4 linked regions of the Canis lupus familiaris genome follow. The protein of the gene in region 2 interacts with the protein of the main gene of each other region in a pairwise test. Links are inferred from orthologs where the notes say so. Each region holds a gene or a part of one and is shown on either strand. Other genes may lie near its edges.

Region 1 (4,104 bases), on a different chromosome or scaffold from region 2:
ATCTGCCTTCTGCTCAGGTCATGATCCCAAGGTCCTGGAATCAAGCCCTGGGTAGGGCTCCTTGCTCAGTGGGGAGCCTGCTTCTCCCTCTGCTGTTCCCCCTGCCTGTGCTCTCTAAAGTAAATATCTACAAAAACAAAAACAACTAGTGAAATCAGAATATCAAAATGAGGTGTGCACTTTAAAATCCCATACCGACGTGGGTTCTTTAGTTGTGACAAATATATCACAGAAATGTTAAAGAGGTCAACAACAGGGAAAATGGATGTGGGGTATATGGAAACTCTCCGCACTATGTTTGTAACTTTTCTGTAAAAATAAAAAAAAATTTTTTTTAAAGATTTTTAATTTATTTATTCATGACCAACACACACACACACAGAGGAAGAGACACAGGCAGAGGGAGAAGCAGGCTCCATGCAGGAAGCCCGACGTGGGTCTCGATCCTGGGTCTCCAGGATCACACCTCGGGCTGAAGGCAGTGCTAAACCGCTGGGGCACTGGAGCTGCCCAAAAATAAAATTATTCTAAAATAAAAATTTACTTAAATTGCCTAGTCCATGTGTACATACTAGATGTTTTTAGAAGACTTAAGATTTGGGGGGGCAGAAAGGAGGACTAATCTAAATGCTTGACCTGAATTATGAATTAACTCATTGAATCCTTGTGACAGTACTAAGTAGGCACTACTTATTATTATTATTATTATTATTTAAGATTTTATTTATCCATTCATGAGAGACACCGGGAAAGGCAGAGACACACGCAGAGGGAGAAGCAGGCTCCATATGCTGGGAGCCCAATGTGGGACTCGATCCCAGGTCTCCAGGAACAGGCAGGCCCTGAGCTGAAGGTGGCGCTAAACCGCTGAGCCACCCAGGCTGCCTGGCACTATTTCTTTAAGTAAACTCTACTTCTGATGTGGGGCTCAAACTCACAACCTGAAGATCAAGAGTCACACGCCTGAGCCAGCCAGGCACCCCAGAAGTAAGCACTGTTAGCTGCCACATGTATCGCTAAGTTTCTATATGGAGTTAATAGAAACGTAGCGATAAAATAATGTAGCCACCATCACAGGTCTGAGATTTGAACGTAGTGGAAACCGAGGCACAGGGAAAAAAAGAAATTGACAGTAAGCTAATAAGTGGAGTAGAGACAAGGTCTGAACCCAAAACTGGGCGCCAGAGTCTGCACTTAACTGCTACTCATGCTGCCTAGGTAATAACCTAGCCCCTATAGGTCAAATCTTCAAATACTGGCACAGTACACAGTAAGTGCTCTAAGTGAAAGTGGTCAGATCCCAAGAAGGACTTCCTGCATGCAACTGAAGCCTGCTATCTTCATTCCCAAATAAGTCTCAAGATCAGAGTTCCCCCACCTTCTCTGGACCTCAGAACCACCACCCGTGATGTTAAGTTGAACTCTAGGTGTCCTGCTGTGGACAGATGCAAGGTGGGAAGTAAAGACCCATACCCACTTGGGCCAGTGGAGGGTCTAGTGCATAGGAGGGAATGGCCAGGAAGCCCCCTCTCTTTTAGCAAAGGGCAGTGCAGATCTCCCTATTTTGGGGCAGGGTTGGTAAACTGATCCAGTGGGGGGCAGCTGAAGCAGAACCAACTGGCCTGAAAGGAGGGCTAAGGATAAGGGCTGATGGGAGGTGGGCAGAGGATGGAGAAAAGCTACAGTCAGGGTGATGATGCCTGCTTCTCTGCAACTGTGCTGGTGTTGCGGGTGAGCGTCCATCATCTGGAACAGGGAAAGGTGGGGATGTCTGGCAATTACTGACACCTTGAAGAAGTGAAGAAGACACAAGAATGACCTACTAGCAGCTATTGTATGGTCAAATGTCTGGGGATCTTGCCAGGGCAGGAGGTATGGTTGAGACTCAACCCCAGAGTTCCTATTAAAAATAAGATACATTAAATAGGCAATTAAGAGCCGGGCTCTGGGTTTCACAGGCATCGACTTGATTCTCATCAGGCAGAGTTGATTATTTTCTTCATTTTACAGGCAGTTCTCGATCTACGAGACTAGAGAACTTGATTATTTGGCCACCATCGCAGGTCTGAGATTTGAACGGCGCGCGCGGTCTCATTGTGACTCAGACAAGAGTCTAACCCACAAAAAGGGTTCTTAGCGTGGGGCGGCAGTTTGGGGATAGGAGTCCAGCATGTGGCTGGCCGGAAATTCGAGAACTAGGGCAAAAGAAACCAAAAGTGAACTAGGGCAGGTCTCAGAGAAGGCGAGGGATCGAATCCCTAGAATTGGGGGGGAGGGGACCTGAGTCAGAGAGACAGAGAACAGGACCCCAGAGTTGGAAGGAGGACGGGGGCCGGAACCCCTGGGGTAGGAAGACGGAGCTGGTCCCCGGGTCAGAGGAAGGAAAAGGCCTAACTCCGCGTCGGGAGGAGGAGGGGAGTGGATTCCAGGATTCCCGAGAGGAGAGGCCAGGCCCGCCTCCCGGTTGGGGCCTGGCGGGGCGGGGCGCGGATGGATCCGGGGAGGCCGTGCTGCGCCATCCCCTGTATATCTGTCCCCACTCCCCGGGGCCGCCTCATTCCCCATCCACAGATCACAATCTCCTCTCAGGCTACCGAGACGCCATCTCCGCCCGCCCAACCCCGGCTATGGCTCTGTAGCCGCGACCCCTCCGTGTCCCGGCCCGTTTCCGCGCTCACCGCGCTTGCGCTCTTCTCTACCGCCTTCTTTTCTTCAGCTGAGGCTGCCGCCGCCTCTCCTTTCCGTAGCCATGGAGTGAGTAACCGCTCGCCCCTCCCTCTCCAACCGCCTTTCCCGCCCTTTCGAAGCTCGCGGCCTTCACGACCAGGCCTGGGGGGTGGGGAGACGAGAGTGAGGAATCACGGTCGCGCAGGCGCAGAAGAGGGAAACGCGTCGTTGGCACGCGGCCGAGCATGCGCATTCGGTCCAGTGGGGGAAGGGTACGTTCTTCCCTAGAATGCTGGAGTTTAAAGATGGCCTGCACGCAGTGCGCCTGCGCACTAGCCCCGAGCGGGGGTCGCCCCCCGCTCCCCGAATGAGTCTGTCCGCGAGCGGTTGCTCACGTGCACAAGCCCACCAGACTCCGTATTTTTTGAGTGAAGGGCGGGCAGTAAGCAGCTGCACATGCGCACTGACTCCCCAACCCCGCAGGCCTGAGAGAACAATTGGATCAGTGGCAGAGCATGCGCTTTAGCCCTGCGAGAGAGGCGTGTGGCTCCGCCGGCCGGCTCCCGTCTCCGAGCTCCACCTTGCTCATGCGCACAACACAATTTATGTTTCATTCGGGCACCTGCTGGGGCGGGGTTGGGTGGGGCTGACTCAGATTGACAGGGCGGAAGGCGAGGCTTAGAGGCCACCTGTAAGGAGGGGGGTGGAGCTAGGATCAGCGGCTGCGACGGGTGGGCGGGGGTCTATCGTGAGAAGGGGCGTGGTTAAGCAAATTTACCTGGGGTGGGGTTTCAACGGAGAGAAGGCGGGGCCTCTGGGGTATCCCCGGGAATGAAGTGGGGGGCTAAGGTAATTGGACGGGAAGGGACTGGGGCGGTCACCGCGAAGCTAAAAAGAAGCCGTGGGACTTAGTAGACCACGGTTTGGAGGGGCAGGGCTGGGGGAATTCCCCTGGGAGCTGATTTTTTTTTTTTTAATTTTTATTTATGATAGTCACACAGAGAGAGGCAGAAACACAGGCAGAGGGAGAAGCAGGCTCCATGCACCAGGAGCCCGACGTGGGATTCGATCCCGGGTCTCCAGGATCGCGCCCTGGGCCAAAGGCAGGCGCTAAACCGCTGCGCCACCCAGGGATCCCTGGGAGCTGATTTTTGAGCCGAGTGTTTAGATGGGATGGAGCCTAAAGGAAATACTTTAGAGGAAGGGGTGTGGCTGGAAGAAAATTCTCCTGGGATTGAAATTTTTTTTAAAAGATTTTATTTATTTATTCATAAGAATACACAGAGAGGAGAGAGAGAGAGGCAGAGACACAGGCAGAAGGAGAAGCAGGCCCCATGCAGGGAGCCCGACGTGGGACTTGATCCCGAGTCTCCAGGATCAGGCCCTGGGCTGAAGGCGGCGCTAAACCGCTGAGCCACCCGGGCTGCCCTGATTTTT
Region 2 (4,270 bases):
AAAATTATCCATAATCCCCAAAGGGAGAATTTAATCAAAGCCGAAGTAGGAGAAATTAAAAAAAAAACTTAGAATATTTTATAAACAAAAACAAAAACCTGCCGCCCCCCCATAACTAGACCCTCCCTTAACTCAGAGGCAGGTTTGTTGAGAATATGATTTAATTCTGTCCATCTACAAGCAACCTTACCGTCTTGCCTTTTACCCATTCAGTGGCTAAAGAGCTGGAGGCAATTGCAGACCCACAGCCAAATGTTTTAAACCTGGCATCCACAATCTTCCCCTTTTCATCCACTTGAATCTAGAAAAAAGACAGGTGTTAAGCAGTGGTTCCTGATGCCACCTCATAGATCCTGCATTTACGGGGGTTCACTGGGGGCTCTCCTCAAGGGCTTTGGTCTTGCTTTCCACACCTTAAGTTTTGACATTAATTACTGAATTTGCTTTGTCAAAAGGGCTCAGTGATGAAGAATCAAATGTAGGAACGATCACCAAAATGATACAGGCCTAATCTGGTAAAGATAAGACAAAAAATATGCCCCTACCCATTTTTTTGTTTTGCAACCCTAGTCTGCTTTTTGGCTATGAAGTTCTGCTCCTGGCTACTCATTCCGTCTGCATCTTTACACACTGGGGGGAGTCTGCAATAACCGTCTCTGGTGAGTGCTTTATAGTCTGGCATGAAATGACATCTAGTGGTTCCCTCCTGCCTTCTGTTTTCCAAGGCAGGCATGAAGACCTCCAGCAAGCTGTCCCCTCACCATGATGAAGATGTGGACAAAGGTACAGGTTTACTCAAAGTGCCAGTTACTATCTTTGTGTTGTTTCCACTTTGGGGGGGGGAGCTTGATATGTGGTATTTCCTGTCTCACTGGGGACTGCTAACTGAATGGTTGTGGTTTTCCTTTCACCAGTAAAATTCACAAAACTTTCTTCTTAGCTGGAGTTGGAATTTAAACTGATAGAGTAGAAAAGTGACACCTAAAGGGTCAGCACAGTGTGCGGGAAAGGAGAACTAAGATTTAGTCCCTACCCTAATAATCAATAACATTGACCCATCCCACCATCTCACAGGAATCCAGACAGAGACCAAATGGAGAGCTGTGCTTGCAAATGCTTTGTCAACAGCGAAGCACTGTGTGAGCAAAGGGATTGCTGTCATTACCACTAAGGATGAAAACCAGCGGTACCTGCAATTTCATTACGTCACCACATGCTGGAGCCCCCACCAATCCAGTTCCAACATTTTTTGATGTCTTGTCAAGGGACCCCACGTTTCTAGGATTTTCATAATGATCAACAACCTGCAACGAGAAGGTTAAGAGAAATGCACCATCCCTCTTTTTTTTGTTACGGGTCTCCCCAACTCGATGTTAAGTCAGCAGGCTGAACCTGTCAGGCTGTCCCTAAATAGCAAATGTCACCTGGGGAGGAAGGCTTACGCTCCTGTCAATGAGACTTTATGAACCAATCTTTTTCGTACCTCTTCTCCAGTTACCTTCAGAGATAAGGAGTTCCTGGAGAAAAAAATCGGCAAAAATCATGCCTTAACTCCATAGGGTTTTTAGTCACAAATAATTACCTGATCTTCACCGCCTAAGTCACCAGATTTGGGATCCAAAAAATAAGTACGGTCCAGCAATCAAAGGGCTTCCCAGAAGCCTCGAGGAGAACGTCACACGAGGAGCAGTGCTACGGAAGGTGTCTATTTGTTAGGCTACAACGAGACCCGTCCTCCCGCCAGCTTCAGGGCCGGGCCATCCGTCGGGGGGAGCAGCGCGCCCTGCAGGCTGCGAGGCTCGCAGCGCCCGGGCGTGGAGCGCGTGTACCGTCAACAGAACACACCCCCCGGTAGGGGAGGGGCGGGGTCCCGCCGAAGCCGCGACCGGCACAGCTGACCCGCACGGCACGCAAAGGCTTTAAGGGAGCCTCGGAGCTTGTGTCCCAGCGGCCCTAAGTGACCCCATCTTCCCGTCTCTTTTCCCATCTGACCACGGATTTCGACTCCAAGCGCGAGGACCTGTAGGACAGGACCCCGTCCGGACTGTCGGCCTCACGCGGATTCACCGCGTTCCTTAGTCGTTTCCCGAGCGGGGACGTTTCAGGTCTAGGGGACTCGACGGCCTCGGAAGGCCAGGGCTGCGAACTACGCACCTACCTCCACTCCCCGACGCCCCCCGCCAGAAAAAAATAAAAAAAAAAAAGAATTTAGAACCTTATGCCTGCTGATTATGCATCCTACGAACTCCTCCACCAGTAACTGCACCCTAAGTGATTTCCACCGGGCGGGCTCCCGTTGAGGGGGCTGCTGCCTGAGTCCCCATTTTACCGACGGGGAAAACAGGCCCGACGCAGGGCACGGACTTGCCCGAGGCCATCCGGGTAGCGGCGGCCCCCGCTGAAGCCGCAGCCCGCGCCGGGGGGCGTCGGTGGCGGGTCCCAGAGGGTCGCCCTCCCCGGGGCGCCGCCCGCCGGCCGCGGCGCGGGCAGTCACGGCGCAGCGAGGGAAGCCTCGTCCGGTCCGAGTCTCGCGAGAGGGAGGCCCGTAGCCCGGCCGCAGGAGGAGGCCCCCGCGGCCGCGCCTCCTCAGGCCGGGCCTCCGCGGAGCGCCGGCGTCCCCGGGCCCCCTCGGCGGTCCTCGCCCTCCCGCCCCACTGCCATCGCGGGCCTCGCGCATCCCGTCAGCCGTCCCTACCTTCTTGTGGTAGAGCCGGGCGGGAGCCGACAGTTCCCGGGCAGGCAGGCGCGGGCTCCGGAGCAGCAAGGCCGACGCCGCCCGCCTCAGACGGCCAGCCCCAGCCGCCGCCATCTTCCGGGCTTGCGCCTGCGCAGGCCGAGTGCGAGGCGGAGGGGGGGAGCGCGCCCGCGAGTCGGCTCCGGCTTGGAGCGCGCGCCCGTTACGTCACCGCGACTTCGCGCCTGCGTCCTCGCGCTCGGTGCACGTGTCCGCCTCTGGCCGCGTCTGGACCACGCCCCCGGGGTGGGCGGGACGCCGAACTAAAAGCCTGAAGCTGGAGGGCTCGCGAGTGCGGCGTTGTCGACCCGGCGTGGGGCGGCGGTGTCCGCCGGCGGGCGTGGGGGCCCAGGTCTGTGTTCGCGGAGCCCTGTCGCCAGCGTCCGGCGCGGCGGATCAGCCAGTCTACTTTGAACCTCATGTGCAGCTTGGGAAGTTGAGGGTCAGACCGGTTTAGTAACTTGTCCAAGGTTGCCCAGACAGACTCCGTTGGGATTCAAAGAAGGGCAATCCTGGGTTAAAAATCCTGATTCTGCACCTTCTCCACTGCGTGGCCCTAGGCTTATGACATCATCTCTTCAAGCTTCGATCCCCGCTTTTGTACTAATTCAAGGACAATTCATGCATTGAGCAAGTACGACTTGAGTACCTACCTACCGTGTGTCAAGGCGCTGTACTAGGCTTCGGGCATGCAAGAAAAAGAAAAACACATGAGTTCCCGACATAATGAACCTCACTAACGAGGGAGAAATGCAACGAGCAAACAGTATTTTCCTACCTCAAAAATGGAGCTTAATTGAGGAAACGAACACGCCATACCCTGATTGTATATGTATATGCCTGCATCTATTTCTCTTCTCATAAGGCAGCAAACTGACCTACTTAGGTGACAATGCCTGGAAATGAAGGGTTTCCAAAGAAACGCTTAGTCATGAAATTTATTAATACCGGTTTGCAGAATAGGATCCTATAAGACCAGAAACCTCACACGTGTATTTAATGCTTACTTAGGCACCAGGTATTACGTAAAGGGGAGGAATCTCTTTGGGAAACGGGTTTTCTCGTGAGGGGTGTGATCGATCCTTCCCTGAAGACTTGGAGGCTTTTTTCCTCGTTTGAGGCTCAGATGCTGGGGACGCTGAACCAAGCTCCGGGTCGGGTTAGGCGGGAAGACGGGCGTTTATGCCAAGATTCCTTTTGACCTTCTCAAGATGGCGCCAAACCGTTGACTTCAATCATCGCCCCGCGACTTCCTCTACGGCCCCCACTTCCGGTGCAAAGACCCAACTTCTGCCCGAAGTTGCAACGGAACACATGCCGTGTTGGGGAGCTTTTTCTCTGCGAGCACCTTTACACCCATGTGAAAGCAACACGAAATTCCATGCATTCCGAGGTTTTCCCGTCACTCGAGGTTCACGGTTTCCCTTTCGGTGGCCGGGAGAGCGGAATTTTGGTCAGGCGCCCGCCGCGGGCAGCCTCTACTTCAGCGGGTCTTCGGCGGCCGCGAGAAGACCCGGGAGTCACTGGAAGCGCAAG
Region 3 (4,163 bases), on a different chromosome or scaffold from region 2:
AAGTCACTTCACCATCTGTGCTTCCAAGGTCATGCTAGTGTTTACCTACCTCATAGCAAACCTATTTTGTAACTCTGGGACGTTTACACTAGGTAATATCTGCAAAATACTTACTTCAATGCCTAAGACATAGTAAATACTAAATAAATACCTACTATTGTTACTACTAACTTAAAAATGGAGAGGTTAAGAGCAGATTCAGGCCAGATAACTTAGATTCAAATCCTAGCATTGCTGGGTGATCTTGGGTAAGTTACTTACTCTCTCTGAGCCACATAAATTTCTTTTTAAATTTAAAAATATCAAACCATGGGGTGCCTGCTCAGTTGGTTAAGCATCTGCCTTCAGCTCAGGTCATGAGCTGAAGCTCCCTGAGCAGGTTGCCTGCTTCTTCCTCTCCCTCTACCTGCTGCTTCCCCTTCTTGTGCTCTCTCATTCTCTGTCAAATAAATAAGTAAAAATATCAAACCAGGGCACCTAAGTGGCTAAGTCGGTTAAGCATTTGCCTTTGCCTCAGGTCATGATCCCAGGGTCTGGGGATAGAGCCCCATGTCTGGCTCCCTGCTCAGCAGGGAGCCTGCTCCTGCTTCTCCCTCTCCCTGCCACTCCCCCTGCTTGTGCTAGCTTGTTCTCGGTCAAATAAATGAAATCTTTTTTTTTAATTATTTAAAAATCATTGAAAAATCAAAAATAAATTAAAAATATCAAACCAGTTAATTATACCTAAAGGGCTTAGAAAAGAAACCAGCACATAGTAAACACTATATGAGTGTTTGTTATTACTAACATGCAGAGAATTTCTGGGAAGGAAATAAAAAAAGGAACAGGAATTTGCAAACCAAAAACACAATGAAGATCTTAATGTTGAAACAAAACTAGTAGTTCTAACAAAAATAATTCACTGTGTGCTGGGGCAGGCATTATACCCCAAAGTTAAAAGTATCTAACTTCCTCAGCAACTGAATAAAAACAACAGCGCCCACCATTTTTTGAGCACCCACTATTAGTGTACCATTTTAAGCATAGGCTCTTGAGAGAGACCTAGGTTTGAGTCTGAGTTCCTCTTTATAAATGTGCCATGTGGGTATAGTGAGAGGTTAAATTACCCTCTCCGAGGCTTCAAAGATTCCTCCTCTGTAAAATGGTCATAATCATGCTAATTCATCTCAAGAGTCCTGGATCCAGCAGCATTAGGCTCCCTGCTTATCAGGGAATCTGCTTGAGGCTCTCTCCCCACCTCCCCTCTCTAATAAATAAATAAAACTGGAAAAAATCATCATGCTATTGTTACAGGGTTGTTTTGAGGACTAAATAGGACTATATCGGTAAACACAATGATAGCTACTATTACTATTCCCAGTCAAGGACCATGGAAAGGTTGTTCAGACTGCAGACAGTCTTACAATCTTTTCAGTAACACCAAGTGGCAGCTAGCACCTCAGCAATACATTAAAGACACTTTAGCTCAGAAAGGTGATGTAAGTTACCCAAGGCCACACAGCTAGTAAATAGCCCAAACAAGCAGGATTCCAGGCCTAACTCCATTAAGAGCATTGGTCTTTACCTTAAGCCACATTGCCTAATATCAACAGAATCCTTCCTTTTTAAGGGCTTAAAGGATTAATTATTTAATTTAATCATTTAACAAACCATTATTGAGAATTTATTACATGCCAGGCACCATCCTATGTGCTGGGAATACAGTGGTGGTCCCTGACCTTATAAAGTTTATGATTAATGAGAGACGATCAACAGGTAATTGGGTAACTGTGAAAATAATATGACGATGACGATGACGATGCAGACGAAGGCATCTAACTGTTTGGCAGGGGTGTTGGCCATTTTAGCAAGCATGATCGGAAAGGTGGGGGGTGCGATGCAGCTTGGTTTGTTCGAGAAACAAAAAGAACCAATGAGGTTGGAGACAAGATACCAGAGGCTGATTGATGATGGTATGAATGTCCTTGAAGGTAAGGACCAGATTCGCATTTTTTGTCCCTGTAGGATCAAAGAGCATAGGATCCAGATTGAGGCTTATCTGATTTCGAGACCTGGATACCTCTGGGCCGTGGGAAAATTACCTAATATCGTCTCAGTATTTCCTTGTATGCAAAAAGGTAGGTATGGTTACCGCTACCAAGGTTGCTGTGAGGATTCGACCAGGCAATGCGCATTCGCACAGTCATTATGGTATTTGCGGAACTGGGTGCAAATGCCAGTCTCTGCGTGCCCTATGTGGTCATTCCATGCCTGGACCCTCTACACAGGGCCTGGGCAGCATACCCCCAGTTTAGAGAAGGGCCTCTCCGAAAAAACGCACCCCCCCCCCCCGACCCGCGCGGCGCGCCAGATCATCCCCAAACTGGCCCGCGGGCCCCTCCCCGCAGCACGCTCCCCAGCGGCACAAGTCAACCAAAACGCCATTTCCACCCTCTCCTCCCACACGCAGCCCTCCAGGCCGGGCATGTCCCGGGGCACCCACCCCACACCTCGCCATCCGTCTCCCACGCCGCCCTGCGTGACGTAAAGCCCGAGCCGGGACGCAGCGGCCGCCTCCCGCCCCTCCGGGCTTCCCCGGGCCACCCCGGGCCCCGGCGGCCGCACTGCGGGCCGCGCGCCTCAGGGGCCGCCAGCCGCCGCCACGGCCGGGCGGGCCAAACTGCTCACCACGACGCTGGGGCTGCGGGTCGCCATTACGAAGCCGGCGGGCGCGGGGGCTGACGGCAGCCTGAACAGGAGGAAGCCGGCGTTGCAGCAGAGGAGGCGGAGGTTCTCCTGCAGAAGGCGGCGACCCGCGGGAAAGCGGAGAGATTTGCTCTGCCGTTGCGCTCTAGGCCGCCGCCGCCGCCAAGCCGAGCCTAACAGGCCCCGCCCCGGCTCGCCCCGCCCCCGGCTCCGCCCCGCCCCCGGCTCCGCCCACAGGCCGCCCGGTAGTCTCCGCCGGCGCCTGCGGGTTTCCAAGCGCACGAGGTGGGAATTTTCCTCCGGAAGAAGCGGCGACTCCTAGCGCGCATCCTGTGTCCCGTTTTCCCTGGGTCTCCCAGCGGGACCTCCGGCTCCAGGATTCCCAGACCTGTCGCCGCCTTCTTCCCAGTGCGCTAAACTGGGCTCCGGCTCTTCCGCTTGCAGTCACCACGTGCTCCTCTCGCCCGGCGTCTCCTTCCCAAGACCTTGGACCGCATTGCGGATTCCGTTTGCCCGACTGGTGGCCCAGTTCTACCAAAAAACTTTAACAGGGTGTGTGAGTTCAGACCTAGGAGCCCTAGGGTGAGCAGATCAGGGTACACATCCGGCGGGGGACACCTTACTGCTCTGTGACCTTGTGCGAATCAGACTTCCTGAGCCTCTTTTCGTCTCAGTAAAGTGAGGATATTAACGGGATTGTTGTGAGGATTAGACGCGGCATCTGTGTGCGCATACGCATGTAGACGGCACAGTACCTAGGACATTGCATAATCAGGAAGTGGGAACCGTTGCTATTACTGATCTTTATTTTTGCCTCCACAAATTCCTGTTTGGAATTGGGGCGGGTTGAGGGGGGATCCTCCCCTAGTCTCACGTAAGTCAGGTAAGCAAATAACAGTTGTTCCATTCCTGCCGTTCCTACAGCTCCGGCACCCACCAGAGTGCCCAGCGCATGCTAGGTGTCCTCTATTAGGGCCACTGAGGATATGTGATGGTAAGAGATTTGTGAACCTGGGCGTCATTGAACTCTGAGCCTTCATAAAAAAAATGAGAATAATTCTTCCTATGAAGGTTTATTGTGAGAATTGTAAAAATCACTTATGTAAAGCACCTAGCATACTACTTGCCTCGTAGTAGGTGCCCAAGAAAGAATAGCAGTTGTGATTTTATCGTGTATGAGTCTGGGAACACCATAGTGTCTGAGTTTTTCTGCCTCCCCTATCTATCATGGAGTGATAACAGACTATAATGGAAAAGGTACATGTGGGGTTTGGACTGAGATCTGAGTTTAAATCCTGAGTTGAGTTCACCACTAGCTAGTGTTATACCTTGAGCAGGATCCTCGGCCTCTGTGTGCCTCAGTTTCCTTATATGTCAAATGAAGATAATTTTTTTTTAATTTTTTTTTTATGATAGTCACAGAGAGAGAGAGAGAGGCAGAGACACAGGCAGAGGGAGAAGCAGGCTCCATGCACCAG
Region 4 (4,209 bases), on a different chromosome or scaffold from region 2:
GCAGGGCCTGGAGTGAGGCTGAGGGCTTCCTTCAAGGGTGCTCCCTAGGCACCCCCTACCCGGGCTGCTCCAGCCCAGCGGCATGAGGGCTGAAGTACACCAAGCACCTACTATGTGCAAGACATCCTGGCATCACAGACACCAACTCCTTGAATCCCTGTGGCATCCCTACCAAGCAGGAACTATGTGTAATTCCACTGTGAGACAGGGAAACTGAGGCACAGGGCAGAGCCAGGATTCGGCTTTCTTGACTTCAGAAACCATCACGTACAAGGCGGTCCATGTCCCAAGCCCGGGTCCCTGCCCCCGAAGCGTGAGGATAGAAAGAGCCAGGACCTTGTTCAGGGGACAGCCTGGGAGGGAAACTCACCATTTTTGTCCGCCCGGCGGAAAATCTGCAGAGAAGAGAAGTGGAGTCAGCCTGGGCCCCAGAGGGGCAGGCGCCCTCCAGTGACTCCCAACTCATCTTGAGATCCCACGCCTGGGGGTGGTGCAGGGGGACCTGGGAAGCTGAGCAGCCCCTCCCCCAGGAGGCCCCCGCTGGGATCCAGGGCAGGAGGGATGCTTCAGGCACAGCCTTCCCAGGCGCCTGCGAGGAAGCAGCACCCACTCTTCTTCTGTGCCGACATGCGCACACACACGTGGACACACACGCTCACACCGATCCACATGCTTGCGGGTGTGCTTGCAGAGCCAGCAGTCCACGCGGCCTCACCCACTGTGCTACGCTCAGTCACACAATGGGAATCTGTGTCCCACGGACACAACCACACGCCTCATACCGCTGCACCCCTCTCGGAAGCCCGTGGGAGCCCCGATTTCCCCCCACGGAGGTTGGTTTAGTGTCAACAGAGAGGTCTGCTAAGGGAACCTCCAGGCCTGGCAACTGGGCCAGCCAGGGGCAGCACTGGATTATTTTTCAGGTGGGGGAGTGGGTGGAAGCAGGCCGTGAAGAGCTCAGAAAGCCAGCTGCAGGTGCCAGGTTCTGGCTGCATGGGGAGGGGGTGGGGGAGGGATGGGGGAGTGACAGCCACCCCCCCCAAACCTGAGCTGAGACCAGATAAGTCCTCCTGGTATTTTTAGAAGAAGGTGAGCCACAGGTGAACAGAAGGAGCAGGGGGAGGCACTAACCCCTCTGACCATCTGACCTTTGGTGCTTGCCCTGGGGCCAAGGACAGATGTCCCCCCCATCCCTTCAAGTACTCGAGACTGTGACAAACTGAAGCAGCAGCTCAGAAAGGGCTTCCTACACATCACCCCCCTCTTCCCTCAGCTGAAACCCTAGCTGGGGGTGCTCGAGCAGGAGCTGCCGTGGCTGGGGCAGAAGGGAGACTAGCAGAGCACCCATTGCCCGCCTGGGCACTCCACACCCCAGCTCCCCACTGCAAAGTTCTCTGGGGCTGGGGTCCCCCCCGCAGGTGCCCACACTGGCCACGCCAAGCAAGTGAATGGTGCAGACCACCTAAGGTGGCTCCAGGAGTCCGCTCCCCACCCCCACTCATCGCTCCATCTCCTAGATAGAGGAGTCTCGGAGCGCACCCGCACCCGCACCAGGAGGACCCCGAGCCTCCTGCCCGCACTGCTGGGAACGGGAAGGGTCTGGACAGGGCTTCCCTGCAAGGGTGGCCCCGGTTTTCCCCGCACGAACTCTGTGGGGGACCTGAGAGAGGATCTGGCTGTGCAAGAGTGTGTGTGCGTGTGCGCGTGCCTGCATGTCTCTGGGGGCAGCCTCCAGCACCCCACCGCCCAGCTCCCCCTTCCCTGCCCAGCCCTCTCTGCCCAGGGCCAACTGTGGGTTCCAGGAGAGAGGAAGGAAGGGGGAGAGGAGATCCACGCTCCCCCTAACAATCAGACCTGCAGACACAACTGTCCCAGAAGCCCCAGGAGCCCAGGACCCTCCCCGGGACAAGCACGTCCTGTGGCCGCGGCCAGGCTGTCGGGAGGTGGGGTGGTGCCCGGGGCAGGGCCCCCACCGCCTCGCCCTCCCCGACGCCCCCTCCCCCAGCGGTCCGCCCTGCAGAAGCTTCCTCCCACTCCTGGGGAGAGGGCGGGGGAGCGGGGGGAGGTGGGCTTCCCAGAGGGGGGTGGCTCGGCTCCCGGGCGGATGGGTGGGGGTTGAGCCACCCCGGGCGTGAAGGGCTGAAGGGCTGACGCGGCTCAGGCTGGAGGGTCCAGGCTCCGCAGACGGGGGTGGCCCCGATCCGCTGAGAGGGGGGACAGGAGGGGGCTTCGCTTTCCAAGAGCTGCTGGCTGCGGGGAGGGGGCTTTGGGGCGGGAACACGCGGGCTCCGGGTCCGCGGCCAGGATGGGTCGGGGCACCGGAGCCTGGGGCCGGGCGGGAGGGGGTCTCGGAGAAGTAGTGACTGGGGCGGGGTGGAGAGGAGGGGGCGGGAGGCGGCAGGGGCGGGAGGGGGAGGGTGGGGCGAGGGCGCAGCCGGGACCGAGGGAGGGGGGCGGTGGCCGGGTCGAAGGGTCGCGGCTCGGAGCAGGCAGGTGGGGATCCCGAGCCGGGGCGGGAGGGGCGTGGGGGCAGGGGAGGGGCGTGCGGGCGCGGGGTCGCGGGTCGGGGGCGCGGGGCGGGGGCGCGGGGCGGGGGCGCGGGGCGGGCGCGGGGTCCGGGGGCCGCCGGCGCGTACTCACGTCCAGGATGACCGCGGTGCCCCCGCGCGGGGAGCCGGGGCCGGGGGCGGCGGGGCCGGGGGCGGCGGGGGCGGCGGGGGCGAGCGGCGCCCGGGGCTCGCCCATCCTGGCGCCCACCCAGCGCAGCAGCCCGCCCAGCGCCCGGCCCTGCGGCGGCGGCTCCCGGAGCAGCCTGTGCGCGCCGGCCCTGCACAGGCGCGCCGCCCGCTCGCACATCGCGCCCGCCCGCCCGCCCGCCCGCGCCGCCCGGAAGCCCGCCGACCCCCGCCCGGCCCGCGGCCCGCCCCCGCGCGCCCCCTCCCCGCCCCGCCGCCCCGCCCCGCCTCCCTCGGCCCCGCGGCCGCGGCCACCGCGGGGGGGGCGCTCGCCCGGACCCCGGCCACGTGCCCGCGTCCCCCGCCCCGCCCCGCCCCGCCCCGCCCCGGCGCCGCGGCAGGGGCCAACCGCGGGGGGCGCTGCGGGCCCGGACCCAGCCCGCGCACGGAAGGGGCGCCCGGGAGGCCTGGGGTCGGGGCGTCGGGCTGCGCGGGCGGGCCTCGCCCGGGGCCGCCCCCTCCCGGAGCCCCCGAGGCCCCCCCGCGGCGCCGACGCAGGGGCCGGAGCGCAGGTGTCCGGCGAGCCCGGGGCGCCCCCTGCTGGCGGCAGCTCCAGGAACCGGCGCCCCCGCGCTCGGCCTCCCCCGCCCGCCCGCCCGCCCGCCCGGGGCCTGCGAGCCCCCCAACCCTGCCGCAGCCGAGCGCCCGGCCGGCGCCCCAGCACCCTCTTCCCCTCACGCCCCACCCACCACCATCCACCTGTCCAAAGGATGAGTGAGGGCCCGTGCCAGGTGCTGGGTTCCACTAATGGGACTGCGGGGGGGCGGGGGTGGCTGTCCTCGGCCTCCTGGAACCTACGTCCAAGTGGGCAGAGTCGGCTGCGGGAGCGATTCCGTAGACAAACGAACTATTACTTCTGAACGCCCGGGAACCTTGGGCCACCAACGGGACTGCCCTGGTGACGGAGGAGGCTGCCTGGAGGAAGTGGCCCTTAGGTGACCGCAATGGAAGAGGAGTTAGAGAGAAGAGTAAAGTGTCCTGGGTGGGAGACCCGCCCCTGCAAAGGCCCTGTGGCCGGCGCGAGCTGAGGGAGCATGAAGGACTGAAGAGACAGTGAGACCAGGAGGGAGCGTGGGAGACAGTCAGGGGCCAGGCTGGAGGGGTGGGCAGGGCTGTGAAGGCCCCCCCAGCATACCCTTCCCCCCACACACCCTCCCCTCACGTCCCTAACACAGCTGTACCCAGACTTGGACACCATCCCTTATCACAAAACTCCCCATCCCAAGGACCTCCCACATGGCCCTGTGCTTCCCGGGGCACCCAGCCCCCTCCCCACACACAGAATCCTCAGACACGGGAGTGGAGGCAGGTACTGGGTTTAATTGGAACCTGATTCTGGAAGCAGTAGAGCCTGGAGTCCTCTTGGCTCAGCTGGCCCTGGTGACCCCAGCTCTTACCAGCAGCTTTCACCCTAAATCACTGCCCCCCCTGGCCTGCAGCATCTGTTCCCACCCTGGTACTAGTCTGAGTCCCG

The links.
Region 1: the proteins of ISCU (region 2) and NUP62 interact in binary tests that used the Homo sapiens proteins (3 or more experiments, as listed by UniProt). The two-hybrid records come from large-scale screens. The link is inferred for Canis lupus familiaris from reciprocal best matches to the Homo sapiens genes ISCU and NUP62.
Region 3: the proteins of ISCU (region 2) and HPRT1 interact in binary tests that used the Homo sapiens proteins (3 or more experiments, as listed by UniProt). The two-hybrid records come from large-scale screens. The link is inferred for Canis lupus familiaris from reciprocal best matches to the Homo sapiens genes ISCU and HPRT1.
Region 4: the proteins of ISCU (region 2) and NECAB2 interact in binary tests that used the Homo sapiens proteins (3 or more experiments, as listed by UniProt). The two-hybrid records come from large-scale screens. The link is inferred for Canis lupus familiaris from reciprocal best matches to the Homo sapiens genes ISCU and NECAB2.

The regions. Positions count from the first base shown.
Region 1 is NC_049222.1:107,311,000-107,315,103, reverse strand, and holds the start of NUP62 (nuclear pore glycoprotein p62), read right to left. Parts: upstream 2,812-4,104; 5' UTR 2,679-2,811; exon of another isoform or gene 2,461-2,678; intron 1-2,460. UniProt on the Homo sapiens protein: Essential component of the nuclear pore complex. The N-terminal is probably involved in nucleocytoplasmic transport.
Region 2 is NC_049247.1:18,660,544-18,664,813, forward strand, and holds the start of ISCU (iron-sulfur cluster assembly enzyme ISCU, mitochondrial), read right to left. Parts: upstream 2,858-4,270; 5' UTR 2,810-2,857; coding exon 2,696-2,809; intron 1,305-2,695; coding exon 1,191-1,304; intron 302-1,190; coding exon 191-301; intron 1-190. Other genes in the region: SART3 (squamous cell carcinoma antigen recognized by T-cells 3), read left to right, coding at 3,917-4,270.
Region 3 is NC_049260.1:106,044,715-106,048,877, reverse strand, and holds the start of HPRT1 (hypoxanthine-guanine phosphoribosyltransferase), read right to left. Parts: upstream 2,844-4,163; 5' UTR 2,695-2,843; coding exon 2,668-2,694; intron 1-2,667. UniProt on the Homo sapiens protein: Converts guanine to guanosine monophosphate, and hypoxanthine to inosine monophosphate. Transfers the 5-phosphoribosyl group from 5-phosphoribosylpyrophosphate onto the purine.
Region 4 is NC_049226.1:68,838,538-68,842,746, forward strand, and holds the start of NECAB2 (N-terminal EF-hand calcium-binding protein 2), read right to left. Parts: upstream 2,857-4,209; coding exon 2,641-2,856; intron 396-2,640; coding exon 371-395; intron 1-370. UniProt on the Homo sapiens protein: May act as a signaling scaffold protein that senses intracellular calcium.